Linked DNA regions of Coturnix japonica. The protein of the gene in region 1 purifies or fractionates together with the protein of each later gene. This does not show direct contact. Links are inferred from orthologs where the notes say so. Each region holds a gene or a part of one and is shown on either strand. Other genes may lie near its edges.

Evidence for each region.
Region 2: the proteins of RIMS1 (region 1) and ERC2 purify together in Homo sapiens (affinity purification with western blotting; 3 studies listed by BioGRID and IntAct, with this or other methods). This does not show direct contact. The link is inferred for Coturnix japonica from reciprocal best matches to the Homo sapiens genes RIMS1 and ERC2.

The regions. Positions count from the first base shown.
Region 1 is NC_029518.1:74,859,514-74,875,898, forward strand, and holds part of RIMS1 (regulating synaptic membrane exocytosis protein 1), read right to left. Parts: intron 15,495-16,385; coding exon 15,371-15,494; intron 10,388-15,370; coding exon 10,341-10,387; intron 9,749-10,340; coding exon 9,636-9,748; intron 8,692-9,635; coding exon 8,561-8,691; intron 8,218-8,560; coding exon 8,046-8,217; intron 7,940-8,045; coding exon 7,783-7,939; intron 6,556-7,782; coding exon 6,484-6,555; intron 2,314-6,483; coding exon 2,157-2,313; intron 309-2,156; coding exon 183-308; intron 1-182. UniProt on the Homo sapiens protein: Rab effector involved in exocytosis. May act as scaffold protein that regulates neurotransmitter release at the active zone.
Region 2 is NC_029527.1:6,059,899-6,076,283, reverse strand, and holds part of ERC2 (ERC protein 2), read left to right. Parts: intron 1-7,847; coding exon 7,848-7,871; intron 7,872-8,511; coding exon 8,512-8,928; intron 8,929-16,385. UniProt on the Homo sapiens protein: Thought to be involved in the organization of the cytomatrix at the nerve terminals active zone (CAZ) which regulates neurotransmitter release. Seems to act together with BSN. May recruit liprin-alpha proteins to the CAZ.

The DNA.
Region 1 (16,385 bases):
TTCGCCATAAAACAGGCATAGATAATTTAAATATGACTACGTTTTGCAATGGGGATGATTATCTGATTATCTGTCCCTCCCCCATTACTATCAGGCTGTGGTTTTCTGCTGAACATTTGAAAACCAGGCAAACTGACAAAGACATTTCTAATGTTATTACCAAGTTCAGACAGACAATATACCTTTCTTGATCAGACAAATACTGACTATCCATGTCTCTGGATCTGTAATCAGCTGGACTTCTGGAGGCCTCATGGTGTCTAGTTGGAGAACGTGATCTTCTCATTTGATGAATTTCATCTAAACTCCTGAAAGGCACATATATGTATGATAATCTTGTTCTTCTCACAAATAATATAGTTTAGTGGACAATTAAAAACTCCTGAAAGGCAGACATATGTACAATAATCTTACTTCCCTCATAAAACATACAGCTTAATAGACAATTAAATGGTACAGGTTGATTGAACAAATAATAAACACAATTGGTAATTTAAGCCTGTTGTTACTTCAAAATAAGTTCTATTCATAGTTACTATACAAATTGTCAGTCAATACTATACAAATTGTCAATCAATCACGTGCAGTCAGCATGGGTTTACGGATAGTAAATCCTGTTTGACAAACCTGATTTCATTCTGTGACAAGGTGACCTGCTTAGTGGATGAAGGTAAGGCTATAGATGTGGTCTACTTGGACTTCAGTAAAGCCTTTGACACTGCCCTCCACAGCATTCTCATGGAGAAGCTGGCTGTCCATGGTTTGGATGGGTGTATGCCCCGCTGGGTGAAGTACTGGCTGGATGGCCAGGCCCAAAGAGTTGTGGTCAATCGAGTTAAATCCAGATAGCTGCCAGTCACAAGCGGTGACGCCCAGGGCTCAGTACCAGGACCACTTCTATTTAACATCTTATTAACAATCTTGATGAGGGGATTGAGCGCACCCTCAGAAAGTTTGCTGATGACATCAATTTGGGGGGGGGGGAGGGAGTGTTGGTCGGCCAGAGGGGACAAAGGCAGTACAGAGGGACCTGGATACACTGGATTGATGGGCTAAGGTACACTGTATTAGGTTCAAAAGGGCCAAGTATCAGGTCATGCATCTTGGTGACAACAACCCCAGGCAACCGTACAGGCTTGGGGAGGAGCAGCTGGAAAGCTACCTGATGGAAAGGGACCTTGGTGTACTGATGGACAGTCAGCTGAATATGAGCCAGAAGCGTGCCCAGGTGGACAAGAAGGCCAATGGCATCCTGGCTTGTATCAGGAACGGTGTGATGACCAGCACTAGTGAAGTAATCCTGCCCAGTACCTGTCACTGGTAAAGCCTCACCTCACGTACTGTGCTCAGTTTTGGGCACCTCAGTACAGAAAGGACACTGAGGTACAGGAGCAGGTCCTAAGAAGGGCAACGAGGCTTTTGAGGGGCTTGGAGAATATGCCCTGTGAGGAGTGACTGAAGGAACCGGGGCTGTTTAATCTGGGGAAAAGAAGCTGAGGGGAGACCTTATTACTCTCTTCCAGTATCTGAAAGGATTGGTCTCTTCTCACTGGCAACAGATGACAGGACGAGGGGAAGTGGCCTCAAGTTGCACCAGGGAAGGTTTAGGTTGGATATCAGGAAAAACATCTTTACAGAAAGGGCTATTAAGCACTGGAATAGGCTGCACAGGCCACCATTGGGTTACCATTGCTGAATGTGTTTCAAAACCGTTTGGATGTGGTGCTTGGGTCATGATTTAGCAGAGGGTTGTTAGTTAGGTTAGTATGGTTGGGTCATGGTTGGACTTGATGATCTTTAAGGTCTTTTCCAACCTGAGCTATTCTACAATTCTATGACTGTTTACTGCACTATTCATTATCCTATAAAAATGCTTAAATTACTTCATATAAGATTCAGTCACTGCCTGAATAGCATTTCCAAACCTACAATGAATCACATGGAAAATATCAGTAAGAGGTAAGTCTTAGAAAGATATGATTAATCTCAGGGCTGCGCTTGAATGGTTATTGGAAGCATACATCAAGTTCAAATAACTATTAAATGGAAATACAATTCTGTTTTTTAAAAAATGCTGAACAGAAGAAAAGTAAACATACCAGTGAGAGATTGTACAAACTTGAAACCAACCAGTTTCACTCACTTGTGATGCCTACCTCTGTGATGGCACATTTGGTAAACGTGAACGGGTCCTGCCCTGATCATCACCACGGTGAGGAGATACAGATCGTGAACGATGATGCGTTGTTCTTTGCTGTTCTGGCACAGTTAGTGTTGTAGATCTACTTTCTCTAGTGCTAGATCTATAACCTACTGATAAGAGGGCAATAAAAGGAAATTAGAGAACAACAACGTGGATTTTGAATGAACTCAGATGGTTAGTCTTTTCAGGAACACACAACTAAATGCTTATGCAACTGTAGGTAGTCATTCAGCTGTTGTATGTCCTGACGCATCGTGCAGTCAGGACAAAATACTAAGATTACCTTTTAATTCCTATATGTGCAGAGGCAGAGAAACTGAGATGACTTTCAGTATGCATTGGCAAGTGTGAGGGGGAGAATTGATAACCTTTTCTATCTTGGGGCAGAGTACATAAAGTAATTTGTATTTCAAAATTGTCATAGAGTAACACATACTTGAAATGAATCTAAATAATGTAGGTTTACCTCATCTAGCAAATGGAGAAGGCATGCCTGTGTGTTATAGCAGATACTCACACAGGACTGCTCAAAAATAAAGCCTCTTTCTGACCTTTATCAGTTAAACACAAAAATGCTCTGCCACTCAACTTGGTCAAAGCTACCTACTTTCAAAAATAACAAGCATTTATACTCTACTATATATAAGCTTGAGTGTCATAACCACTGCAGACCACATTTTCCAAATACTACCAATGAGATGCAATATTTTTCATAATCTCTTTTTGTTTAGGACTTTAAAAATGTACTATCATTCTGCTATTAACTGCTGATATTCCTGTTCTTTTTTTCTAAATAATAGGCTACTTGTTCATATTTTGAACCTCACCCTAAAAATCCTGTATCTAATGAAGATCAGCATGATGAACTGCTTCCTAAAGGTGCTTGCTACCTTTCCAGAATATCCTAAGCGAATTTGGTCAGAGTTGCTCCTATCTAGACATTTAGATGAGAAAAAAATCTCCACGAATTTTAGGGAGAAAATAGGGAAAGGTCATCCCTATAGTCACCCTTACCTGAATTCACAAACCAAAAAAAAAAAATCATTTTGCTGTTTCTATTGCATTTATCTAGTACTATATACCTGTACTATGCTTTTTTTTTTTTTTAGCTAAAAAAGTAGCCTGTATCAAAAATCTTCTCCCCATACAGGTAAAGACCATCATCTAAACACAACATCTTCAACTGGATAAATGAAACAGGTTGCAGTTTTTGAGCCTCTTTCTCTACTGTTTCAAGGTTGTTGTCTTGTCTTAGGTTTTTTTAATTATTATTATTATTTTACATAATTTGAATATCATGCGGTTCTTTTCTAATGTTTTACCAGATTGATTTAAGCCTCTTAAAAGTGCAGTCTGTATACGAAGCCACTTAATCACAATGGGTTAGCGAGCACTGATTGCAAAAGGGGCATGACCCTGGAAAGTATGGACTCCAAGGTTCATAATATTTGTTACAAAGAAAGACTCCAAAGTCACATTGATTTTGATGCACTGTGATGCTGGAGTATCTTATCTGCTGAAAACATTTTTCAGACTCATGTAATAAAACCAGAAATATCAGGACACCCCCAATGTAAGTACAAGGACTGGGTGAAAACTTTGAAGCGAAACAGTGACTCACTCAGGATTTCATTGGAGACTGCCTCATTTTCTGTAATAAGATTGGTTCAGAAAACATCTAGTATTTTTGTCAGAGGAAGACAACTGATTACATATGACAAAAACTCTTGTGTTCCCTTTCCCAGTATAATTAAACTTGAGTTTTATGCACGAGAATATATTTTCTGGAAAAAAAATATTTTGTATAAAATTGTATCCTCTCTAACACAAGAAACGCTAGTTTACATTTATTAACATTAAAATCAAAGAAACCCAAAGCTTCTTTCTAAGCTTGAGTAACTATTCTGAAATGTGCTTCAAGTTTTCAATCATAAATTTCAGTTTAAAGTGTGCTTCCAGAGTATTTCTGATCCATCTAAAAAAACAATACCTAAGATTATCCTGTGCACTTAAACACCTGGCATATGAAGAAGCTATCAGACTGTATATTCTTCATAGCTGTGCTATTGGCTACGGTATTAAAACCTTGTGCATTGGGTGAACACAAAGCTTATAGAAGAGACAGGGCAACAGTAAATATTTCTTGTACGTATTACTTCTTTTTCAGTTGGTAAAACTGCATCCGTAGTTCCACAATGACCATGACAGTGACAGCAACAGTAACATCTCCTTGTATCTTCAAAAACAAAGGTTCTGTGCTCTCCAGAGTGAGCAGGGAATTTTTTCTTTTGCATGGGAGCAGCAACACAGCAGATGGCAGTTTATGGAGAAGAAGTTTCTCAGGTGGTCATGGGAAACTGTCGGGTGTGACATGAAATGGAAACTGTATGGATGATGAAAATGTTTCTGATATCTAAAGCACTAACTTCCTTCATAAAAAAAGACAATACAGCCAATGACAAGGTGTTATGATGTCACCCTGCTGATTCAGGAACATCGAGTGCAATGCAACCATTTATTCAGATAATTTTAGACTGAAGAATAAATTCTTCTGGAGCATTACTCAAAAGCAGTACAGTTCATTAAAAATATCCTCTTGTATACTGCCAACTCAGTATGAGCCACTAATGCCTCAGATCACGTTTTATTTTGCTTTTTTAAATCCTTTACTGACCCATTTTACTGACTCAGTAATGGTGTGGTCACATTTGGAATACTGGGCTCTACCATAGAAGACAGACAAAAAGTTAAAGTAGTCTGAGTCCAGAGCAGGACCACAAAACTAATTAAAAGCCTGGAGCATTGTACATCTGTGGAGAGGCAGAGAGCATTCAAATAATATTCATGAAAACAGATATAGGCATACCACAAAAATAAATTGCGTTAAGCAGAGCTTCAACTTAAGTTACTTTAAAGCTGTGAGTATAAGCACCTTTTGTAAACAGTTCTGTGAACTGATGAATGAACCAACTAAAAAAAATCTAGTGGTATATGGCATTACAATATACTGCAATTTTCTGTAGTGATGTCTTGAGAAAGTCTGAGCCCATGTATTCTTCAAAGCCACACTTGAGCACTTGCTGTCCTAATAGCTTTCTGTAAGAACTGTAGATACTCAGGGGTTGACCCAGAGAAGAGTCCAGTGTACTCAGATAAATGTTCTTGAATGTTCCTGGATAGATGGAAATGGTTTATTTCAAATGAATGCTCTAAAAAGTTGGCAGCTTAAAGTCCCAGTTCTAAGCATGTATATTGAGAGGTAAGAAAGCATACATAGATATGCCACATTTTTAAAACCTGTTATATACTTTTAGGTTAAAGGTTCTTTCTCTCAGCTTCTGTAAATAACTATATTAATCACTTGATTAAATCAAATACAAATTTTCCTCTTAGTTGCTCATATGCAATCATATGAAAGTAAGGGAAGAGCCCTAACACATAAAAGGAAGCAAAATTTGGATCTATCTGTGGTAATAAAATGCACGATGTTTTTTTAATGAATATATAATGAATAAATTATCAGATTATTTTAAACTCCAATCAGGAAGACCGAGAATTTTCTAACCCCTCCCCATGATTTAATTCAGTAATTGCCACCAGGAACATCGAAGGAAAAATTATTTAGTACTGCCAATGAAACGGTGACTCTTAGGGTAGTTTGGGATAATTTTGAGATCTATTCATCTGACTCACAACAACAGTCAAATAGAAATAGAAAAATATGGTATCCAAAGTACAAAAGGATGATAAATTAAAGTCTAACCATGGTACAAACTAAATTTATGAACATTTAGGGTAATGGTAGTTCACGAAGACTCAAGGAAACTATAGAAGGTACAGCCATGCTACATGCATCTTAATCTACAGCCATGCATTCTCGAAGTCTACAGAATACTCTTTTACATCTAAGTTTCAAGCAAAAAGCAAAATAAAAACATGCTTGCAATAAACACTGAAACCCTAATTAATGTTGTAAAACAATTTTTTAAATTAAATAAGTATTTTTAATAATGCTTGGAACGTTATGTAGTAAACAATTTGAACCATCAAGTTGTTCTTATATGAAGAATGGAATGCAAAGGAAATACCAATGAATTAACCTTTTAATTCACCATATTTTAGAAGGACAAGAACCATGGAATGAACAGGAAAACTTGTTTTTCCCACTACGCATTCTCTAAAATCAACATCCTCAATATTCTGAAATGTTATAATGAAAATAAATAAATAAGCAAGCAAGAAAGAAGAAGAAAGCAGGACCATGCTGTTCACCCACGCACCTGGAGGAACAACTCCAATACCATCATCAACATCATAATCTGAGATGTCACTATCACTGATAGGCCGAGATCCTGCACAACAGTAAGGTAAACAAATACCTGAACATCTGGCCATGTTATAAAAAGTAAAAATAGGTTCATTTGTAACACTAAAATTGAAAAGGTGATTTTATGACTAAACAGTACAAGTGGAGAATTAAACTGCACTGCTGATTTGGTGATGTTTCATCAAACAGCTGAGCCAATCCAAAAGGCTCACAGATGCTGCAGCCTCCTCTGCCTTTCTTCCCTCAGTACTCTCCTATGAGGTCAGTTTAGCTCACTAAACAAGCAAAAAGATTTCTTTACTTCTCAAATAAATTAAAAAAAAAAGGGTACTTTTGTTCTATTTCAGTGAGTTGAGCAAGTTGAATCAGCTGAACAGGAAAGCAGAGGTGGGAGCATATGGTGGGAAAGGAGAAGAGGAAGCAGCATTGACAGCCTTTTAAAAAGTTCAAATATCTCATGAAAACTAACCTTTAGTTTGCTATCTCTATACATATTCTCAGGCAGTAATTACAGCAGTATCACACTTCTATAATTCATTGTGAATATGCCCCAGTTTCTTACGCATTGGCTGGAATTAATGACTTTTATGTTTAAAATAAAAAAAAATAAAAATCAGAATAGTTTGAAAGCATATTAAAAATAATATCTTGCATCCTTCCTTTTTAAAATAAATCGTCTACTAAGTTAAATGAACAGAGAAGCTACAATAGTCAAATATTTCAACACATTCATTATTTTTTGTGTGAATCATACAATCGTGGAATCAGAATCTTCAGAACTGTACCTCCCAAAGCACACAGTTTCTCTTTGCTGCTTAAATTCACTCTTCCATCTGATTATATGGTATGCATATATAAAAGCACATAGAAAGCTGAAACTAATCTTAAATGAATTGTTTTTACCCTTCAAAAAGCTTCAAAGCCTTTTTTTTTTTTAATAAAAAGCTTTTAATTATTACAAAGTATCCAATAAATGAGGACTTCATTTTTCCTTTTGAATGGAGATTTATGAAAACAAATACTTGACCAATTTTATTTTGCTAGTGAAAAATCAATCGATTCAAATAGGTTTCATTTACTTGAAAGTGTGAAATGCTGGCATGTGCAAAGTCACATCTCTTTGTGCCATACATTTTTATTACACTAACTATGAAATAGCAATTTTTTCTTGTATGTGAAAACTAAATATCAGTACAACATACCCAGGATTTCAAATTTAAAATTTTAAAAAAGGTGAATGGATTGGACCTACTTTGTAATTTTTTGCTAGAGCTTTCTCCACCATGAACATGTCTTCTTGGCATGAAAGGTGATGGCTGAGGCAGAGGTAGTGAAGATTCATCATGTGTTTGTAGCTTATACCAATGTGGTTCATCATCTAAAAGTGCTGTTTCCAGCTCTATAAGAATCTAGGAAAAAAAATGTTCATATTTTAATTTAAATTTTAATATGCAATTTTAACACATGTTCAAAAATAAGTATCAAACTCAGGATAAATGTGATTGTATGCATCACCTCTCCAAGAAATTCACTCTCTTCTTCTTGTACTCTTGGCTGATCCCATACTGTTATTTCAAGCATTCGTTCTCTAAAATCTCTACGATGTACATGCGAGTAGAGAAAAGTTTGGTTCCATTTTGGTTCTAGACTTTTCTTTACCGTTTTGGTCCTCCTTTTACTTTTATCACTGAAACATAAATATTTATTGTAAACTGTAGAAATAAATCACAAAAAGCCATAAACTCATCAGCACTTATTGGTTTCATTTTTCCTGATATTATAATGCCTTAAAAGAGAAAAGTATTTGCTGTGCAGTGGATTGCATTCATCCAAATGTTTGGAGAGTTATTTTGATACTGAATTGAATATCTCTGGTGCAATTTTTTTCTCATAATTACGCTAAAAAAAACCAAAAAACAAAAACAAACAAACAAACAAAAAAAAAATATAAAAGAATTCTGTAATTCAAAAACATTTACTTAAAATTGATTAAATGAATTACAAAATAATTTTCTCAACCGATGTACTACCTCCTGTCTGGAAGAAAATACATTTTTACATAAGGATTCCTTGGCCGTCCATCTACTCTTGGTGGCAAATCTGTTGCTTGTAGAACATTCACTATTAACTGATGTCCCACCTTGTCATACCAGAGTTTCACCTACATGAAACAAGTTACCAGAAAAAAACAACATTTAAAATGAATTAAAAAATTAGGATTTTCATACTGCGTCACATTAAACACAAAGTAGAAGTAATATTCATTTTCCCAAGAAACAATGAGATACATATATTTGCAAATCTATGAATAAAATGTGTTGGCCTATACCGAAGACTTCCATATTCACCTAGATGAATAAAATGATGGTACCCGATTATACTTACATTGCTTACTGTATTCCCTGGTACATGTACGTTCATTCAAGCCAGCATTGTCTTAGTTTTGCTCTTCTGAATCTACTCTTAAATAGGAAGCTAAACTGCAGCTAAACTTCAGGCATGTTCAAAATCTACCTACTCTCATCTGTCACATTAAACAGTTCTAAGGGAAAATAGAAAATACAGCTAAATTCTTTCCTAATAGGATCATAACATAGAATTTTTGAGTCTGCTTCATACTTAGAAATTAATATAATGAATATAAAAATGAAAGAACATATAATAACAAAGTCTAAGTATTCACTGTGTATTTAATAAATACAGTTTCAATTAGCATGACAGAAAATTCCAGGAGGTGATGTATATCTAAATTAAACTGTATTTCTCTACAATATAAGTTAACATATCTCTTTAAGTGTTCCTGTAAAGAAGGTAGAGTGGTACAGTGCTTGTTATCTGCAAGTACAAAAGAGTACAGCATGAAAAATTGGAAGGCGTGTTCATGGACTCCTCAATGTAAATTTCTGCACGTTCTCACGTATTAAGACAACTCCTTACCTCAGCTGTGATTACAGCGAATGTTTACTTACACATTTGAAAGGTGTTAAGAATTTACCAACAGCCATTTCCTTTGACTTCCCAATGGATCTTGGAAAGGCAGAGGGCTGAGGGACCAACACCTGATAAACATTCATTATTAACATAGGAAAAATAAAATCTGCTCACAGAAAGCTGCCCCGGTAGGACTTGTGGTGCATCCCTTAGAGCGCCAGGGCTGGTTGGAGAAATAACAGAAATAGAAGGCCTTTCCATCTTCTGAGATTCAAAAGAACTTGAACCTAAAAACATGCAAGAAACACATGAACTTTCCACCTGAGATTTTAAAGCAAATTTGGATAATTTATGAATTGTTTTTAATTTGAACCATATAAAGCTTGTCTTTATGTATAGTACTGATGTGTTAGTGTACAGAAATATTTTAAGGTTATGCAAATAGGGTGGCGAAAAAGACAGTCTAGACACTCTTAACCCGGATTAAACCTGACATTTTTTCTTTTACTCTAATTAACATATTACAAAGTGTTCCTTATCTATCATTGACACACCATGCCTTGAATAAAATATCCCCATCGTACATAGTGCACAGCTGAAAATTTTAATGAGTAAACTCACTGGTGTTTTTTTGTTTGTTCGTTTTGGTTTTGTTTTGTTTTTTGTTTGTTTCTTTCCTATGGTAGTCTCTGAAATGTGATTTTAACTTTTAAGAATTCAGAGGCAAGAAGATATGCAAGACAGGCATCTGGCACAGAGGACACTCCTGTCTATGCAGGAGATCAGCAGTTCTCTGTCAGTGAAGCAGAGCTCACATGAGCAAGGACAAGCTCATGAAAGGCAAGGGCAGCATAGCACTTTCACAAAGAGTGTACTCACTGGACTCTAATGGGGGATGAGAACTCTCAGGAATCCGAGGAATATCACTAAAAAACATGAACATATACAAAGTAATTAGGAATGAGGAAGATGCAAGAAATACGTTTCTGAGAACATTTTTAGAAACATGTTTCTTATTTTGTTCTAATGGATTATGCAGAAAGAAGGGGAAATTTCATCGTTTTTCACTGGGTTCCATGAAAACCATAACAATGGAAACTATTACTTCCTTCAAACGTAGAAGCTAGAAGACAAAACAATACAAGTGCTATGATGTAAATATTATGGATGGATTCTACTATTTTCACAATCCTGAGAGGTTTTATGAAGGGAAGGAGGTAAATGGCAGTATAGCTACCGTCACTCAACTATTCTTTGGAGGAAACATTTAAAAACTAAACAAAAACACAACACAGAGATTAACTCACTAGTAATCTTTATATAAACGTCTCAAGGAATTCACAGAATGAAACTGATGAAAATGTCTTATGATAAGAAAAAAAAAAAGAAAGAAAAAACAAGTAACATTAGAAACGTCAAACTACAAAAGAATAATACATTTCTTCATAGGCTAAAAAAGTATCACAGCACATTACAATTGGGTGTGGAATTTTTTCAACATTGAAACATCCAACACACACACAAACAAAATCAAACCAGTTACATCCATACATATCTATCAACATTTTGACATCAAGTTCAAAATCAAAAATCACAATTACTCTTCCATCATAGCCTTGATAATAATAGTTCCTTGTGTCCTGTTCTCAGCAGTCATTGAAAATACATTGCAAGGGCAAGATATGACTGTTTTTGTACAAATATTAGAAAAGTAGAGCAAGAAAATGGAAATAAAGCTCTTCAGCAGTTCACTTGAAACTTGTTTTTTCTGCAAATACTAATTCAGAATTTAAACAAAAATAGTACTTTTGAAGGACATTTAAAGTCTAAAAGTGAGCATTTTAAAGGTCGTCAGGTATTTTTCCATTCAGTGAAACGCTACCAAATGATTTAGAAGTCAATAAAACTAAGACCTCTAGACATATATAAATGCTACTTACAACAAAGAAACAGACAAGTTAGAAAATGAATGTAATAGCTCCCAATCAACAAGTCTTAGATTTATTTTTCAAGATCTGCATTGTAAATCTCTGGTGCACAAGATTTAACAAAACCCAATTCAGCTCCCAACTGATGTTTTGCATTAGCCTGCATCTCAGCACTAACCAAGAAAGTTCTTGACTTTGTGAGTATGGAATTTCCTCAAACTCATGGAAAAAAAACTGCATTACTTGCTCTTGACATGGCATAATACTCCTACACAATCAAATACATGATATGGTGCTCAACAGGGCTGCTGTGTGGACTTCATAGCATGTTCTCTCTTCAGTTTCCAAGGAAATATTCATCAGTCTGAAATACTTATTTACTTTATTCTAACTGATTTTTCTGTTCAATATAACATTAAGTCTGTGATACTCTCTTAATACAAAATTTAGGATATTTAAAGAGGGCTTATAGGTGCAAGAATCATTTCAACATGGAAAGTTCATCCTACATACCTGGGTGGATGGAGAAAGACACCAACTACAAAAAAAAAATCTTCAGAAGAAATAGGAGAAATGATTTTAACTAACTAAAGCCAGACTAGCTAAAGTAAATGGTTTATAAAACAAAACAAAACAAAAAACCAACCAATTTGCAGATTACATTAATTGTATTACTCTAGTAACTCCCTGAAATCTAGCACTGTCTGATTTGTTACGGAGGCTCTCCTCACAAGGACCTAGAGGACAGTAACAAAGAGGAGCAGAATCACACTGGAGAGACGTCATTTTTGGTAATAATATTTGTGGAAATCTAAGCAAATATAATTTGTATACAACAAGGAAAACAAGAGACAAGTAAAGAAAATGTTTGTTTTACCTGCACTATCCCATATGAGCTCACCCGAACACAAAAGAGACAGTTACCATGCCAGACTGCTTCTCAAACAGTGTGCTGCCAAAGTCTACACTGCCTTAAATTAATGGCCTCTACCACTGTATGCATATTCATAGCTCATTTTTCCCCCTTCATATTTAGATGCCAACCCATTAAATCTAATTTTAAATGGTTTCTTACCTACCCTGTGTCTGCAATCACAAGTATTAATGTCAATTAGTTTCTATCAAGTTTTTATGGTACTACTGTGGTTATACCATTTGCTATGCCTTTATTTGCTAATTGTATTGAATTTTTCACATTTTTCTCTAATAAACACCCTACAATTATCCATTACTCAAAATTACATTTACTGATAGACACAGAAACACAAATTTACAAGACTAAGCAAACTGGGTAGACATCAATTTTGTAATTTGCAGTCGTCTAATTTGTGGACTTACAGTCCTCCTATTATTTACTTTAGCAAAACAATATTAAATTTAGGCTTTTTAGACCTAATATACTAGGACCTTTTAAAAAAAGACCATTAGATGTGCCAGTACATTGCTTGCATTATTAATATTGAGAGATGAAAACACTTAAATTATGCAGAAGAAATATCATTTTTCGGGAACCTACTCCCTCACAGGAATTTTAGGTGTAATGGATTACCAATTACTGCTTTATCAAGCAAATGGAAATTTGCTGAATCAGAATCTAAAGTAGACACAAATCTTGGTTATACTAGATACACTGGATTAAGCAAAATCCACTGTCATGAATTTGAAATGAACACACAGTTGGAATAACAAGGTGAGGAGAAGCCAGAAAGAAAAAAAAAAGAAATTTAGCCAAAGCAAATCATCCACAAATTCAAACAAACAAACAAGAAAATCACGTGCAGGATGCGGTGTTCTTGGCTTATTTTTTTCTTTGTTGTTAACTAACATTAGGATTTCCTTAGTTGTACAATGCCAGGGTGAGATTTTTTTTATTTTTTTTTTTTTTGTGGAATTTAGACGAGAGAGAGGTAAATCCCAATCTGATATAGAACAACAGGTCTAATTTTAATTAGAAATTAATCTAATTTCTACTGGAAAAATGAGAGACCGTTAAACATCAAAAGACACATTCTTCAGTCCCTCTTGGGATATTTATTTGCTCTCCACAGGAAAATAACAAACAAACAAACAAACAAACAAATAAATAAATAAATAAATAAATAAATAAATAAATAAATGGAAAAATATAATCCAACACAGTTCTACGAGGGTAAAATTATTACAGCATGTCAACAATTCCTTCTCCATTTGTCTCAAAATTATAATCTGTCTTCTGAATTTGCTGTCTGGAAAGAAATATGAATGGGTCATACAAAGCAAAACATTACATTTTATTGGCCCTATTTCCACTTCATTAGTGCAAGAGTCACTGTTCAGATTTAGAAGCAGTCTTTGTTTTTGAATGCCCTCTATTTTCTCGGCCTCAGTTCAACAGTTGTGGTATTTTCCCTGGATTTTTTTTCAAGAGGTCATTAGCGGAATTTGGCCACATTGTATTTCACCTTTTTGAAGTCTCTACATTTATAGAATTCATAAACAATAATTAGTCATGTTAAGAATCAAAATAAAATCTAAGGATAAATGACATTTACAAATACATTGATATCTGAAGCTTGCTATGTAAAAAACTGATACAGCAGTTTCTGCTTCATATCAGTTGTACAGATCAATTTTCTTTCAATTGAGAAATGAAGTATATGTCCAGTCTGATACTTCTTTTCTCCTGATAAAAACATAAAAAATAAATTTTCAAAAACCCACTTATGGCATTTTAATTTAAATCATAAAGACGATGGACTGAATTTCAATTTTCAATCTGGGTTGTCTCTTAATTTACCTGCGACTAAAAAACGTCAAATAAGGTTTCTACTTCCATACTGTTTCACTCTGGATGTTAACTTGAGTCCTAAACAACCACTATTTTTTCATCAAGGTCTAATTTGCCACTAAGATTAACAACAAATGTTAATTTCATCGAAATACTTCCAAATAATTCTAATAGTGATTGTCATTAAAAAGGAAGAGTTCACTTGCAAGATATATCTACATTAGCACAGTGTGGGCAAAACCAAACATCAAAAGCTGATATGAAATAAAGATAAAAGAAGAATGTGTTAGTCAGAAGGAAAATGAATAGTGCTTTCTGTTTCTCAAAATAAAAACTTGCCATAATTGAGATAGATAAAACTTATAATTAGGATGAAATCCAGCTCATCCAAAATGAAAGAATCCTGCATTTATAAATGACAAAACAGCTCATCATCCCCCTACAGGTTACTGGTACTTAAGAGACGTACAATGAGTATGTGATCTCTGCAAAAACTAAAAACTACAGATAGATTTAAACCTTTCACTTTTTTTTTTTTTTTTTTTTTTGAACTAGTCAAGATTCACTTTTTATTGTAAACCATGTGACTCATCTCTGCAATTTAACTGTCAATTTACCACATGATTGAAATTCCATCCTGTAAGACCACTCAAAACAGTCCCAATAGAATCATTTTTGGGGAAGGAGTGTAAAATATCACTGTAAAACTATTGTGACAAATGCAAGGCCAACAACACTCATTTTATCAATTCAAACAGATTTTATGATACTTCCAAGCCTTATTTCAGAAATCAAGAATGCAAGAATTCTTACTATTAAATGCCAAGCTGGGATTTATAACAGATAAACATTATAAAAATAAAAATAAAAATCATTGTTTTTGATGAAACAAACTACATTAGCTAATGTGAAGGTATTTTTGTTTAAACTTTTATTCTGACAGCATCTTTAAAAGACAAATTTCAGTTAAAGCAGTCATATTTTTTTTTCTCTCTCTCTAAAGAAAAATTCGTTAAATTCCTACTAGCATTGTCATAATTCAAGTCCAGCAGTGCTCAATGCTTGCTTGTGCTTCCTAAGAAATCATTTATACAGATAAATCACCGTAAAGGCCCAAGATCATAACAGGCGATGAAGAAATTGTAATGTATGGAATATCAACAATGAAAAGTAGAACTAATAACTGCACTTAAGAAGCAAATAGTTAGCCTTACCCAATAGGCCTTGAAACAATAATTTCAACTTGAGGTTCTGACTTTGATTCTAAAATAATGTTGTAAACTTCTTCATTTGTAGCTCCAGGCAAGGGTTTACCATTCCATTCTAGAACTTCATCTCCTTGAATTTAAAGAGAATTTTAATTCATTTCAATATTCTTGTGCGAAGAAGAACAAAACATTTATGAAACTTATATAAATACATTACATTGCTCAAAATAAATTTAAAAATTATGTTGAAAACCAGAAAATGGCTCCTGAGACACTATTAAGGCTCATTTATATAGTTTTATAGTTTCGTGCGGGTTGGAAGGGACCTTAGAGATCGAGTCCAGCCCCCGGGATTCATAGAACGTAGCTACAAATTCTACACAAAAGCATTCAAATGAAATAACAAAAGTCTTTTTAAGAATCCTTTAACAGTAACTTCAATTGACAGTAATAAATGTTGAGAATAAATAAGAGAATTAATCATTAAAAAATAAAAAAAAAAAATAAATGGAAACATAAATACCTAATTTTTAACCTTAAACATTTGTCACTTAAAGGTTAAGGTTAAAACCTTAACCTTGTCACTTCTAGTACACTGCATTGCACTTTAATACTACTATGAAAAGACAAAAGAATTTAATTATAGTTTCTTAATAAAGATCTGTATATTCAATTGAACCGCAGGAACTGCAGTAAACTGCAGGAAATCTTATACTCTCACATCCCATCCTATGTAATAGCCAGAACTTTGCAGCCATTATCTGATACCATAAATAATATCCTTATTTTCTTTCTTAGCACCAATTCTGCGTTTATCAGATTAAGTTGGGAACAACTATAGAGCTACTGGCTTGCCCCTGTATGAGGAGTCCTAACTCAAATGGTAAAACCCAGGCTTGTTCATAAATCAAAGCAAAACTATCCAAACTAAACTCAGAACTACAAAAATATGCAGCAGCAACTTCATTTTAAGATCAACGATTGTCATTCTTTTTTCCCAAACAGCCTATATTTTAGTGTT
Region 2 (16,385 bases), on another chromosome or scaffold:
TTTTTTTTTTTTTTTTTTTTATATGAACATTACTGTAGCAATCCCTGGTTTTGATTTACGTAATTCTAGTGGGATACCTGAGTGTCCATGTATGCCATACATACACACATCCCCTCACTCAGCCCCTAACTCTTTGAATAACGAGGGGAAAATTGCTCCCTCTTCTAAGAGAGGAACACTTAGAGTGCTAATTTTATTTTTCCCTAATTGATATTGTTTATTCTTATGTAAGGGTATATTAGTATCGCTGTTATCGTTATTTTTATGAGGCATGTAACTGCAGGTTTTCCTTCGTGTTTTCGTGCTGTTAATATTTTTCTGCAGGGTGTGAACTTAGTGCCATCTTCTGGGAAAACTGAGCAAGTGCAGGGTTTTAATTTGTACTGAGTGTATATAGGCCGTAAGTCAGAGGACTCTCAATAAGTCTGGCAAGACTAAATGAAGTTTTAAGAAAGTTAATTGCAAAATCTATCTTCTGACTTCTGAAGGCATAATTTTGCAGCTATTGGGCCACAAATGCTGCTTCCTTAATGATTTCTCCTTGCAGATCTGCCCCACTTCTTCAGAAACTCTAGGCAAAATCTCATTCCAGATGGTTGCCTCTCTTTGTGATGCATCATTTTTCTATGTTTGATCTAACTGAAGATTTTAGATTTGAAGCTTTCAAAAATCTCTCTATTTCTTTTTTTTCCTTTCCCTTAACTGTAGCTGAATGCACAATTCTTAATTTCCTTTTCAAATCGTTTCAATGGGAAATGATTACATATCATGGTTAATTAACTCACAGTACTATTCCTAGTAGAGAAGAAGAAACAAATTGAAAACTGTGCTCTTTTCTGGTTGCGTTTATTTTCCCCCCCAGATTAAAGGGTAGGAAGAAGTTGGAACCCGATTTATCCGTCTTTTTTTTCTTTTCTTCTTCTTTTTTTTTTTTTTTAAATAAAGAAAACATTTCTAGTGTATCAGAAGCTGTGCTTGAAATTCTCATGTGAATAACCTAGTTTGTATCACTTTCCTAATGGCAGTGTTAAAAGTAAATAGTTTCAAAATCAAAAGATAGATAGGATTGGAATTTGAGCCCAAACATCAGGGACAAATGAAGGACTGAAAAACTGCTTCTTGAAGGGAGGAAAACAATCCTGGTTTAAAGCTCCAAGGAAGTTAGATTTTGTAATGTTTTGAAATCATTAGATAATTCCATGCAGTTTTGTTTTGTTTTTCTTATAGAAAGGAAAGTTAGAGATATTTAAACTACTAATATGATTGAAAAATTGTCTGAAAGTTTACTCCGTCCTTTATTCAATTTCAGTTGAATAAATTGAAAACCCGTCATAGAGCTGAACCTGTTGTTTTCCACTAACATACTCAACTGCTCATATTCATAATTCAACAGTATTCTGGATTGCCATTCCTGCTGTATTTTCTTCTAATATTTTTGTTATGCAATAGTAATAAACTATTGCCTTTTTGCATCGTTAATGTGCTGTCAATCTATATTGCAAAAAGAGGTTGTTTTCGGAGACTTGAATCATTTTCCTCAAATAGTTTATTAGAAGGTACTTAACATTTTTCTTTAGGGAATGGTTTAGTGGAATTCATAATTGTTGGCAATCTAAAGTATTTTGTGTTAGATTTTCCAGGCTCAAAAACAAGTTGATTGACTTAAAACAAATTGTCTACTTAAGCAACAAGTCAAAGCTTTCTGAGAAACTGCATGCCTCAGGCTTATTCGAAGCCATGCAGATGAGAGCTGATTAATGCCTCACACTGCAAAGCAGTGAAAGACCACAGAAGTGTGCTGCTTGTTTTCTTAGGTGAAAATGTGAGAATGGAAACTCCAGAAAAAGTGCCCAAAAGATAATGAGAATGATCTTAGTTGTAACTTTGAATATTAACCATGATGTAGGCCAGATGAAATTAAGAGAATAAAGGTCAAGCTTGTTTGATTTTCTTGTTAGCAAAGTAAGGTTTATTTTGTTTCTTACACAAGGTACAAAATAACTACATTTCAATAACCAATCGTGGACATAAGTCAACTGTTCGATATCTGCATGAAGAGAAGGCTGTATTTGGGCTTTGGTAAAGCTGCTTAGAAACAAGATAGAATTATTAGATAAATGTCAGAAATCCCCCACTGGATAAATTCTTCATTGAAAAGTATTCAATTGATTTTCTTAAAAAAAATCATATATATATATATATATATGCATATATATATATATATATAAGAAGTTGGATTTTAGGGGCAAGGTGAACTTAAAGATCTGAAATAAAAATGCTCACCACAGAAAGCATTGGCTAAACAGGAAAAATGTAGTAGAGAAGAGGAGGAAGGGACTAGAGAGAGAGAGAGAGATTTCAGACATAAAGACTGTTTCTAACGAATGATTTTTGATGCTTTAGAGTTGCAGTACAGTCAATGCTTCATAATACTGTGAAGAAATATGTTTTGGCAGAATGAGAAAGTCGATCTGTAATGGCAGGCCTACTTAGGGCAAACAGCAAAGCAAGGGAAATAATGAAAAATGACATCTAAGCCCATAGCAAATTGAGGAATGGGGGAAGAAATGGGTTTACAGATTGTGCTTAAAGAATCTGGTGCAAAACTACTCTGAAATTTGCAATACTAAAATGTTTTTGCCTGCAGTTAGCCCTCAGTAATAAACTGAGATATGTTTTTGTACAATTATACCAAGTTCTTAGGTGATGCTTTCCTTCCAGTGTTGTTTTTCATTAAAATATTTGTGGGAAATCACCAAGAAAAGCTGACTGAATAGTCAAAAAGCCTAATAGTTTAGATCAGATTAAATACAAGGTCTATATTATGGAATGCAGATGTCTAATATACATGATAAGGTTCCTTATTTAGCCTACAAAGCATGGTATTAAGAGCAAGCCTTTATCAAGTTTGACAAGACACCAAATCTAAAAGTGGGCAAAGAAAGAAAAATTAAGGAAAGCAAACAAACAAGAATCTGCCCTTTTGAACACAGAGTGCCAGCAGACTGTTATACATAAATTGTCTCACATCTGTTGCAGCTCCAGAAATTTCAGTGCTGAGGATGCATTTTTGTGTGAAGTTTGAACCTTCTATGATTCCTTAGATGTTGAATCTTTCTTTTATAAGCTGTTTTCCTCAGGGGTGCCTTATAGAGGTGCTTATAAAGTAAGAATCTTTATTTAGCAAATAAAAACCAAAAAGTCAACCATATATGTTGTTGCTATTTCTCCTAAGTTACGAATCCTGTTGTGTAGCTACAACTGTGTTTTCACTGCTTTCTGTATCATTAGGCATTTGCCACTGCCAGAGACTGGAGTGTATGAGCCAATCCAGCCTTTGTCCCATGACACAGGGAATAAACTGTAGTTACTATAATACCCTCTGTTGTGTGTAATAGAGAAAATATGATCATGCAAGACTGCTTAATAATGTATCCCATTCCCTCAAAAATTTAGCTGCAGAAACTGCTTAGTCATCCTAAGTTCAGAAAATAAATTTTGTAAAATACTGTTAGATATGGCTTTCAAAAGTCTATAACAGATAATAAAACTGTCAAAAGCTCTTTTTATTTTGGTGTGTACTAATAAAAGGAAGGGGAGGGAAGAAAACTGCTGGAAGCAGAAAGATTTTTTGATACAGCTTCTGGAAGTTTTTGTCATGTATCCACCTTGCCACCTGCATCCACATCCTACGCTGCAGCGTGAGATTGCTTTTTGCCTGGAACTGCTTTATTGCCTAGATTATTATCTCCAAACTTGCAGGGTTCTGCTCTCAGTTGTTTTACACTTTAGAAGGCTGTTTGTCTATCACAACCACATTGATGCCGTGGCGTTGAGAGGACAGAGACAGTTTTGACAGTAGTCATTTTTTCCTTATCTTACATGGCTTTACATCAGTAGTTGTATAAGAAAATGCCTAATACATTTTACCTTTTTAAACAGAGTGGGAAAGAAACAGGATAATCAGTAACTGAAAATGGAACAGTGAGAGACAGAAGCCAAAATACAGTGGCTTGAAGTAGAGGAAAAATACTGCTACCTGTCACTCTGTTCAGGTGAAGCATCAAAGCAGTGAATCATCTTGAATGGCTACAGAAATAGTTGTTTTGCCTATACTGGGTGACCTTGACATTGACCACTTTAGCTGTAGTGCTGTACTGAACCATATAGAGGAGAAACACATTCAGAATTCCTCACTGCTCATTTCCAAATTTTGAGTGATTATTGTCTGTGGAATAAACTGGTTAGATTATAATGATATTAGAGGAAATGAGTAGTAAATCACTTATGGCACACTTTCTAAGTCTATCACTTGATAATAACCTATGACACTTAGTTTCTGCCACCAAATCCTTCTGGCTGGCTTTCCCAGTCTAGACAACCCCAACTATGATTCCTTTCTACCTTTACCTTACCTTACACAGAATTTGTTGCTTCCTTCCAAGTTAGTGTCAGTTTATTTGTCATTATTATTTTAAAATTAATTAATTAATTAAATAATAATAAATGATTTGGTTTAATTTTCTCAACAGTTTTCAATAGATTCTTCACTTTTGGTGCCAGGGTGGTGATGTAAAATAGAATTTCTGTATGCCTGTAGATAATTATTTTAAATTGGTCAATCTCTTTACAGTATCCTTTTTTCTCCAGTGTTTACCGTATCTCTAAGGCTTTGAGATGCTCAGAAATGCTTTTGTGCTCTGATCCAGGGTGTGGTGTGGCAGGATGGTTCTCTGAAGGTGATCTGTCTGTGAATAGCTCCTTTCCATAGGTTAACGTTCACATGTAGAGCAAAAGTTGGAAGCCAGGCAACCAAGCAGGGGTTGCTAATTCCTCTTCATAGTTCTGTTTCAAATTATGGGGGCAAACTGTGGAAACCTGCACTGTGCTTAATTGAAAAAAAGGTTAATGGGAACCTCCTGTGCAGTTCCATGGATCGCCTCTTGGAGTTGGGCTGTAGGGGAAGATCACAAAAGTTCTGTGAGAGCTATTTATATGTTCCATAGAAGCCTGGAATCTTTCTTTAAGCCCTTGTCATCTGGTCTGTTTTTAATAGAAATTATGAAAAGTGTGATAGATCTTGTGTGTCTTTTCAAATCCCACGAAGTCCTGCCTATATACTAAAAGCAGCGTGACAGATATTCACAGCACTCCCACATTCCTCCCCTGCTACAATTAATTATTCAGTACCTTTCCACCCTCGCAACATGTGTTCTCTCCCCTTCTTAGCAAGCTGCAGATACCAAAATCTGTGCCAGCACAAATCTAAATCTGGGCCATCGTGTTCAAAGATTTCTGAGTCTTGAAGGACTAAGAAGGTAGCAGCAGCCTGCTGCGGTTGAGGCTCTTGGCTTAACATAGTTACAGAGAAGCAGACACAACAACTGCTGTGTTCAGCAACAAATGTGTTTATGGGTGGAACGTGAGAGCACCATGCATAGGTTGCTGTGGGACAGAAAGGGAAGTTATGACTGGTTTATCTTGCCAGAATTGCTATTTTGAGTTCTGATTTCTAATAATTTGTTTGTTGATCTAAGAGTTTTTGCTTTTACAATTGACGTTCTGAAGATTTATCGTTAGCAATTTAATTTCCCTTTTATTACTGTTTATAAATATTTGAGATATTTTACAAATGGATGTCCTTTGATTTAGCTATAATCTTTTTGACAGTGGCATACAGAGATTGCTAAACTCGGGAAAGCATTATCTTATAAGTAGTTTTTAGCATCAAGGAGTAAGTATTGTCTAATGTAATGTTAGAAAAAGCTATTTTAAATCATACAGATCGGAGGAGGAAAAAAGTCTTCTCTTTTGAATTTTTATAGACTATACGAGTAGTTACTGAATATCTCTGCTGCGTAGTAGTGAGATAATTGTGCAGTGCAGAGGGTTTACTTTACTATGCTTATGCAAAGTACTGGCTCTCTCCACAGGTTTTTAGAGGTGTGTTACATCAGGCAGTCATTCTTTTGCAAAGAATGAAAAGATATGAGTTTCATTCTTAAAATAAATGACTTGGGACTGAAACTCCAGCTGATGTGGAGACTGTGCTCAAAATAAAGTAAAAGAGAAATTTTTTGAATTATTTTATTTTCCATTAAAAGGAGAAAATTCAATTCAAATATCTATCTCAATTAAAAAAATATATAATTAAATATGGCATGAAAAAGCTTTAAAATCAAAACATTTAATTTGAAAATGCCAAGTGATTTTATTTTTCTCCTTTTGGACCTTTTGAAGGAGGTTATTATTTTTTTTTTAATTTATTTTTAAAATTTATGATTAATTTAAATTAGTAACATTTATTTCTTTCTGTAATTACTCATCTGAAAAATTTATGTTTCTCTCCAACTTTCAGTTTTGCAAAACTACGCAGGACTTAGAGCAGTGTCTATATTCCTAAAGCAAACTCTTGTTTAGCCTAGAAGCACTGTGTAACTGCTATATTAACTGTCGGAGATGATCTATAAATATTGTGTCAGTACTGTCAAAAGGCATTTGGAAAGAACGAAGTTTGGTCTTGTTTACTCTGCAGCATTTGTCTCTGTCTCTGCCTTCCCATCTCTTTGTTAATTCGTTCATTCATAAATATCGTTGCATGATATTTCTCTATTTTTTTGAGCATTTTGAACACTTGGATTTCTGTGCTAAATCTGTCATTCTCAGGATCATAAACAGTACAGTAATGGATTTAAAGTAGGAAATTGCTACATCTAGAACAACTTTGAAATTAAGTTCATTGGGAACTTTTCAACTTATCTAAATAATTCAAAACATACTGAGATTTTAAGAAATGGTGAGAATTACCATTAGTAATAAGTAGGGCTGTAAATGAGTAGACTACATTTGCATGTTCTCAACTGAGTGCGTGCCTAATGAGATACAAACATTAAGAGATTTAAGCTCTGAACAGCTATAAAAGCATTGCCATTTAATTGTAGAACAGATTCAGACTACAGAATTTCACTGCAGCCCAAACTTTTTATCCTTTTAAAGTGACTGCTAAGAGATGTGATTTCAGATTTTTTTTTCTTTCTGTTTAAATTGAGTTTATTACATACTGACAGATGTAGGAATAATTCTCAAAATGAAGGTGTTATCAAGCAACTAAAGAAGCCTCTCATACTGACTTCAGGTGTTAATGAATTACTGTTTAATTGAAGTGCGGAGTTGCAGAATATTCATTAATGCAAAAAAAAAACCCACCAAAAAACAAAAAACCAAACCCACGTCTGGTGCCACAAATTTGAAGTCATCTAAATCGTATTGATATGATATGGCTTTTCAGGAACTCGTATTTCTATGCATTTGATATATTATATTAGCAAATAAAAAAGAAAAAACAAGGAGACAAACATTTTCAGATATTAAACATGCTGTTATCATAAGTTAGGATAATTATCTGTGATTCAAGTTTGATATGAACAAAATCATTTTATTTTTCATTGTGTTGAATATGGAGTGAGAGATTTCTCTTGAACAACGCTGTACTCAACTGTAATACAAGCAATGTAGGACAAGATACTGTGTGAAAGATAAGTATGAAAGCACAGTGAGATGTAATAGGAGTATTATTATTATTCATTGTGGGATTAATTAGTTTGTATGGTTTTTTTTTCTATTTTTTTTTTTCTGTGTCATATCTATTGAGTAAAGTCTGTCTTGAGCTTTGGTTTGTATATTTGAGTATTGTGAAGTTGTTGGTGCTGTTTTGTATATCTCAATAAAGTTATTTTTTCTGTTGAAGATACTTTTTGTTGAATTCAGTTCTTTCTGTTGAATCTCCTTTGCTTGCATCTGACCTTTATGTTGATTTTGCTTCATTTTTCATTTACCATGCTGTTCAGTTTTTGGATGCCAGGAGAACAAAGGTTTGTCTACTATTTGCCGTCTTTTTTTTTTTTTTTTTTTTTATTTTTTTCTTTTTTTTCCCCCAAAATTCAATATTGCTTACTGTGTTTTTCCTGTTTGTTCATTAGAGATACAGTAATCCTGTTTACTAAAACATTCATGGCTTTAGTTGCCAAAAGAAAAAAACAAAACCAATCAAATGCTCCCCCCTCACTGCCTACCAAGATCCCTTCAGAGTTACAGGGAGTGCTTTGATTGACTTCATAACTAATCTGCTGAGCACCATGCAGGGCAGAACCACCTGTGGTCTATGAAGTAATTTAGAAAACATGGAATACTGAGTCTTTCAACTTTATAGGCACATATTGACTGTACAAATGGACGTGTCACTGCCTTGTGTTTGGGTCTGTTGTTTTTCTTTGTTCTTCATTTTATCTGTAGTTGACACTGTGTGTGTTGTCATCTATTTTCTCTAGAAGCACTTGAAGGATGTCATTATAAACACTGTCACATGCATTTGTGATTTTTCTTTTTTAAGGTCATTTAGTATACTTTCATTATTAATGATTTTTTATAAAAGCATACAACGAAAGTTTAATCAAAGTCAAATTATACATTCAGATTCTAAATCTATTTATTTATTTATTTTTGGTGTTGTAGCATCTGCAAATGACAATCCAGGCACTTCAAGATGAGCTTAGAACCCAGAGAGATCTTAATCATCTTCTGCAGCAAGAAAGTGGAAACCGAGGTGCTGAGCATTTTACGATTGAGCTAACAGAGGAGAATTTTCGAAGACTTCAAGCAGAACATGATAGGCAAGCTAAAGAGCTTTTCCTGTTAAGAAAAACTCTAGAAGAAATGGAGCTAAGGATTGAAACACAAAAACAAACACTAAATGCTAGAGATGAATCAATAAAAAAGCTTCTGGAAATGTTGCAGAGTAAAGGTTTGCCCTCAAAAGGAATGGAAGATGACAATGAGAGAACTCGAAGGATGGCAGAAGCTGAATCTCAGGTTAATCATTTAGAAGTGATATTAGACCAGAAGGAGAAGGAAAACATACATCTTAGAGAGGTAAGGAAAACTCATTATTTATTTCTTTAAAAGATATTGCTAATGTATTTGCTGCAGGTCTGGAAATAAGTGTCTGAGTGTTTTCCTTTTCTGCTTTCATTGTTTCCTAGAAGAAGATGCACCTATTTAAAATCAAAATTAATAAACAAGTGGACTGAGAAATTATGGAAAAAAAGTAATTGTGCCATTTGGGGCTTGTTGTCTTTGACATTGTTGCTTTGCATGCAATCTAGATTTCTTGTATTTTGACAAATCCATGTTTAGCAAATCAAGATGATTAGAATTATTGAAGAGACACTTAGCACCTTTTATTGCTATAAAATGACTTGCCACGAGTACATAGGGAACTTTGCTTTTATACCTCTTGTGTTTCAAATAAGTGTTTTCAAACATTTTGCCTACTGTACTCAGACTTTATCTAATTTATTTTCTGCTGGGGTACACAACAGAACATCACTGTATTTAGATGCTGGCCCCCAGCCCACCTGCATCAGCTGCCCACATTACTTGCTGATTAATTTTGAAACTAGATTTGGGAGAAGTGCAACTGAAAGAAAATCTGCCCACTTTTCAAGCCCGTGTGACCTTCTTCATCCTAGCAGCCTCTGAAGCTGGTGACAGGGAAATGAGACCGTGTGTCTTCCTCAGAGAGAGACCTTGTTGCTTCCCACTGAGAAAGGTGACAACTGCAGAGGTAGAGTACAAGCTACCCACAGTGAGGAGAATCAGGACATCCAGTTCTATTTCCTTAGAAATTCAGGAGCAGTGTAGTCTGGTTGAACTACTAGTCTGGTAAAAGCACTGATTTGCCTGATAAGTCAAAGCATGAATAAAATCAGTACTAGAACACAGAAGACTATTATTGGTTCTTGAATAAAGAATAGCTATTTACATCTATAGAACTTTTTTTCCCCCGTGGATGAACTGTTTAAGGTTAAAGCTATTTTGTTAGTAAAAAGGAATTCTTAAAACCCAGTGATTTATTTTAGATTTCAGATTAAAAGGAAGAAAAAGAAATACGTATTGAGGCCTCAGTTGTACCAGAAGCACTGCTCAAGCTTGGGAACACTGGAAAATTTGCAGGGCACAAACATACATTTGAAGTTTTTTAGTGAAGATGTGAATCCTTGTGAATCTTTTCTCAGGCAGAACATTCATTAAAAAGCGATGCCACCACTTAATGGAATCAGTGGATTCTGAAAGAAACTGCATAAGTGAATTAATGATACTATATTATAAAAAGGGTTGTGGAAGAAGTGCTTCAAATGTATTTCTGGAATTAAATCTGCTGGTTTCAGAGAAATACAGTTTGTTTCAAGTGTGGATGACCTGCTGTCAACTGTTTTTTGTTCTATGATTGTGCCTTACTTATAGCATCATTATTACTTATATTTTTGATTACTAATTCAGGCACATCTTGGACATGAATAAAGCAGAAATTTGAAGAAGGTTTTTTAATTTGCAGAGTAGTCAAGCTCTGGAATGGCCTTCTAAGAGCAGTTAAAGAAATAGGACTAAATAGAGCATGGAAAGTGGACAAGATATCTCATAGTTCCCACTGGGTTGCTCTCAGGAACCAGGAAAAAAATTGTTTCTCTCTGAATTTTTATTGAGGATAAAGTAATTATCTTTCCTCTAGAGCAAACGTTCAGAGGGGCTTGCTGGAGTTTCTGCTTGTGGCATGCTGATACGCCTTTGAGACTTATCAAGGTTTAAAATTTACAGTTTGCTGGTCAGAATCTCTGTGTCAGCTTTGGGGAACTATCTACTGATTTGGGGATTTTGGCTAAGAATTTCCAAAGCTTTGTGTGAAATTCTCTCTCCAGCTTTGCTCCTGAGGCAGGCTGTAGTTATTGATTTTTATTTATTTGCCTTTTGCTGTATTGCGACTGGGAGTTGTCTGCACAATTTAAAGGAATATCAGATATTCAGTATCTAGTTTTATCCATTTGTTAAAAAACAGAATATTCCACTTTTGATTTTTGTGTAGTGCAGTGAGTCTTTGTTTTCTGCTGTGTTTACTAGAATTGCTGTTAATGCATGCAGTCTCTATCCTTCAGAGTACAGTTTCTGAGCCTGATAAATTAGGAATTACTGTGCTGAATCTTTTGCAGTAGTGTCCTTAGTGGTTTCCATTTTTCAACAAGAGGTTTCAGGTTTTCAACCTGGCTGTAAATGACCATATTTTCCCTCTACTTCCCTGAGAATGGTTTGACAGTGAATCAAAACTTGGAAGCTTTTTCAATCCCACTGAGGAATGATTAAGAATTTAGTATATGTCCAGCACCAAATTTTGTTCATGTTTACCTGTCTTTAACAAAATATATTTTGGAGAATTTTGACTAAAATATTCTGATTTCTGTATTTTTTACAGGTTACAGTGTTGAGCTCGTGTTGAGTATATTTCTGAAAAACTACTACATTGTCCTGTGTAACTTAATGTTTGATCAGATCCTGAAAATTAATTTTTAATTAGCTTTGCCATTATTGCTTTTACAAGTTGCTGTTATTACTGCATGTGAAGTATGCACGTTACCAGAAACCAATATTCTACTGTCTTGATTCAAAATAACATGAAGTTATCCAAGATTTAAGTGGAAAAATAGGGGGAAAAAAACAAACTTTGTTTCTTTTTCTTTCCCATGAATAGCTGTAGAAGTTAACGTAGTTGCCTCACAAAATGTGGAATTTCTCCAGACTATAGATTATATTTCTTGGAGATACTGGAGAGAAGAGAGACAGAAATAGCTAGTGTAATAGAGGCATAGGAATATACCTCTGGAATATAAAACAGTCGATTTTGGGGTGGTTTGGGGATGTTAACCACTTGCTCCTCATAGACCATACCTTTCTGCAGCGTACGCTCTACTGCACTGTCAGACTTTGTTTCACAGTGGTGAGCTTCTGATTGTGTTTACTCAAGTTCTCTTTGAGAGCACTAGGAATGGCAAATCTGAACCTTATTACACAGGAGGAAAGTTCAGGTGAAGTTGGAATCCTGCTCTTCTCTTACAGGAATCACAAAGAATGTCTGTGTTGGTGAGGTTCATTAAAACACACGTACTGGGGAAAAAAGCTATGCAAAAAAAATGAATGCATTCCTTTCTGCATATTAAGGAATTTGTTATACAGGCAATACGTTTTCACAAGAATAGCTAGATTCCATGACTTGTGCTAGTTATAGCAAAACTTTCGTTAGTTGCTTATCACAAAGCAAAAGACAATAATCTGATTGAATAGCATGAAGTACATGCTTGCGTTTTAGCTTCAGTTTTGAAGATACAGCCTGCTAAGGAGAGATTATGGAGCTCCTCTCCATGGTTTCTGAGGGCATCTGTGTAGTCTGTGCTCACTCTCCCTTCATTGAGTTAGACTGAATCTTTTGCCTGTAAGAAATTTAGCTCATTGAATGCCCAGAAATATTTTTATTAGCCTTTTCCTATGATAGCTGGATTTTATTGTTATTTTATGAGAGAAAATGATATACTATATGTTTGCTAAGGAAATTGTGTTCTTCAGGTTGCAAAGTAGCCTTTGCGAATACACAAATGTAAGTAGAGGGCCATTCTTGGGCCTGGGAATTTCCCTGTTTGTATGTTAACAGGTGAAAAGGAAATCTGTCTTGAAGCCATGATGTCATACCATTGTGTTCTTATGTTCAGAAATAAGTATAATGTATATCACTAAACATACATTCCTGTCGTTAAAAATGCCTGCCTTTTACTACTCACATTGATTATCAAATATATTTTCCAGGATTTGAGATAAACATTTTTTTTCTCTATAGTTTTGGGAGTACTGAAGGTAATCTGGTGATTTTATCATGTGGAAATCTAGCACAGATGTTTGGTATTACTTTTTTTTAAACATAGTGACCACACATTATTTACCCTAAGTACCATTAAGTATTTTTTTATTATTGCTATTAAAAACTTGCCTTAGGCAAAGTCCCACTAAATCTCTAGTAAAGTCAAATGTTAAAATTCCAGCAAGTATTTTATTATATATACATACGCATAGATTACACATGCCTTCTCTATATAACATACAAATTCACTAAAATGGAATCTGAGATCATATAGGATTTTATATATACATTTTAACTCTTATCTTGCATGTATTCTTAAAATAACATTGTACGTGGTTTAAAGCTATGGTCTTTTCTTTCTACACTTAGGAAGAAGAACACAGCTTTATTATAATTTAAAGTGCACTTTTAAGCTTTCAAGGGTTTTTTAAAACTTGCTCTATCTTTGAACTCAGCTTGGTCAAATAATGATGGTTGATGATAGGATTTGAACTGCCATCATGAATTACTTATTGCATGTTTTTAAAGTTATTAATGGAGTAAAGTTCTTTCTTCCACTGTGAGTAGAACAGATGCCTTGCAGACTTTTGGTGTTTACTGTAAATGTCTTACACTGGAGCCAGTAGTAATTTACTAAGGAAATGCTTTACCGACACCAAACATTTCTTCCCTGTAGTTAGTTATGCAGATTAACAACCATTCTAGTCTGAGTGTTTTTATTAGGTTCATTAGTGCCGCTTTCCTTTTATTTCTCCTGATTCAGCACAAAATATTAAACTAATCAGTAGTTATAAAGACAATCATTTCCTATCACAATATTGATATGTGTTTTAAGGTGACTTCTTAGGTATACAAAAGGACTTGGCAGTCACACCAGGCAAGAAAAAGTAGGCAGAAACTGATTATGCTCTAGAGAACAAATACTATTCCTAAGGTAGCCCGTTTGGGTTTTGCTATTGCCCATAATATTATCACTGGGGCGCTTGGTTGTTGCAGTAGTTCTTAAAAATCCAATAGAAAGCTTTTTACTTACATATGAGTTTTTTTCAGTTAGGACAGGTTTTACTCTCCACAACAACATCACCACTAGTTTGGAATCTAGAATGAGAAAAGCATGAGTTTGAAATGAATGGTGATGTTTGAGAAGCAATTAAAGAAATTGTTCTAGAAAGTGAGAAAAAGCATGAAACACAAAATTGAGAAGAGTGTGAACACATTTTCCAGAACTTGAAAACTTTGTAAGTACTTAGATCCAAATACTATTTTTTCCATAAGTCATCCCAACAAGGTCAATGGGATTAGTTGAGTGGGTTGCAGTGGAGGGGATCAGATTTGAAAGAATCTAGACTTTGGAAAAGTGCTTTGTGACATGGATCAGAAGAAAGTTCAATTATTATTGATGTTCAATTATTATTTTTTTAAAATAGTTTGTGTTCCATTCTAGACATGATATTGGAAGATTTTCACACAGTCCATGTTCCACTAATATAATTAGAAGAAGAAAAATAATTATTAATTGATCTACAGAAAAATGCTTACTTGATTTTCTGCTGCTGTTCTTGGTAGTTGCAAATAGGTTCTTAGTGGTGTGTCCCTCAGTTCTATCTACAGTCCTATTAAAAATATTCTTATGCTGCCATTGCTCTTATATGTTGGCAATCTGATTCCTAATTTGCTTTAAATGAGTGTTCCAAGTGGGGTTAGCTCAAGCTAAAGTAAAAGGACATCTTACAGAAGCGAATGTGCTTTCCATGCTTTCCTTTAAAAATTTGCAGTTGCAGAATGCATTATTTTCATTGATTTATAGATAATTAACAATTATGTATTTCTTTGGTCACATTGCTTTTATCAGGTTTGATTCTTGACATCTTTCATCTCCCTAAGCATAAATTTATTTACAAAAATGTGGATCTTAGTTTTTTTTTAATAATGTATTTTTCTTTCGCTCAGTATTTAACACAAAAATCCACATTGTAAAACCTTCCAAAGATTATAAATTAAGAGAATGATAACTTCCCATCAACTCTATTACTTCTCTACTTGCTCTTTTATTATTCAGCTGAATTTTCACAGGGTTCGATACTAAGTTTATTTGTACTGTGGTTTCCTAGATAAACTATGGAAATAATAATTATGGGCAAAAAATAGATGAAATCCAAACAACCCTCTTCCCTCAAATAATCATGCTATGAAAAACACATTCATGATAATCTAAGAGTAAAGAATAAAAATTCAAGCAAATAAAAAAATATAAAGTTCTCTCCTTTAAGTTAGCAGTTATTATATGACTGCAGATCATAAACCTTGGGAGTCAGGAGTACTGTATGGACTGATTTTTGTATTGATTTCTGAATCTGCTGTTGTATTCTTTTCAAGATGCTTGTGTAAACTATCCATTGGAATATTGCAGTTTCTTTACAATTCATGAACCATGAAACATTATCATCTGGATAGTCCTAATGTTGGTGTTTCGAATTACAATGGGAAAATTGATAGGCCTGATCTCATTAAAATCTCAGTGCAACAGTATGCATGCTTATGAGTAGTACCAGGGAACACTGTATAAAACAGTACAGCATCAGGACCTGTGTTAGTCACACACTTCAGTTCTCCTCTGCTTGTTGCAAACCATCCTCCATGAATACAGCTTTCTAGGAGTAACTGGGATAATTCAGCTCTATCTATACTTCATTATGGCAATGTTAAATGCATTGTATTTCTTTTCTATCCCATACTTGTCCCAGACACTCTAGTTCAGTTCCATAGACTTTCTTTTCTCTGAAGTCAGACTTCTGCAGATGTATGTTTTCATGTATATGCACTGTGAAGTTTATGATGATACAGATTTCCCAGTACATAAAAATACATCAGCACTGGAGTTCACTGACATCTTAATTGAACTTGTCATTGACAAAATATTCTATGAATTGCTGTGATCTTCAGGTGAGCTGCAGTAATCTGCAGCAAGATGAGCCCGTCGTAGATGAAAAGCTTTGTCATTCTACAGTTTGAAATGTAAGATCTCCTCTAAAAATAAGGAAAAACTATTTATTGGAGAATGAGCCTGTGCTTGGCTTCATCTGTTCACGTTATTCACATAAGGTACGTTGACTTATTTTAGACACTGGATGGCACTCTTGAATGAGGATTGGATTTTATTCTGGCTTTCATCCCTTCTGCAGATGATCGTGCCCTATCTATTTGTCACAGCTCAATTTACAGTGATGGGATGGACTAAGAAGAGTAATACCTTCATTTGCAGCTGATAGTACGACACAGGAATTGTATTCAGTCTGTAGACAGACTGCAGTTAAAACAGCTGCAGATAAGAATCAAAGCAAGCAGAGAGCTTAATTGCATTTCTTACTCTACAAAACAAAGTCAGGAATTATATCTGGATGCATTAGTGGAATTCAGCCCCAGTTTTTAAGCCAAAATTGCAATTTACTTCAGTTTTTTAAAAATAAAAGAGCAAGCTAAGATGGCATCCATTCTTTTGAATGGAGTTCCACTGTAGTAAGTGTTCTCCCTTACCTTGGCTGCAGAAAAGACTTTACACTGTCACAATGTGATCGGAACCTGGAAGGTGGGCAGAGGAGAATATCACAAGTTATGTTCTGTGCCCTGCTGCATTTCCAGAAAGACTAGT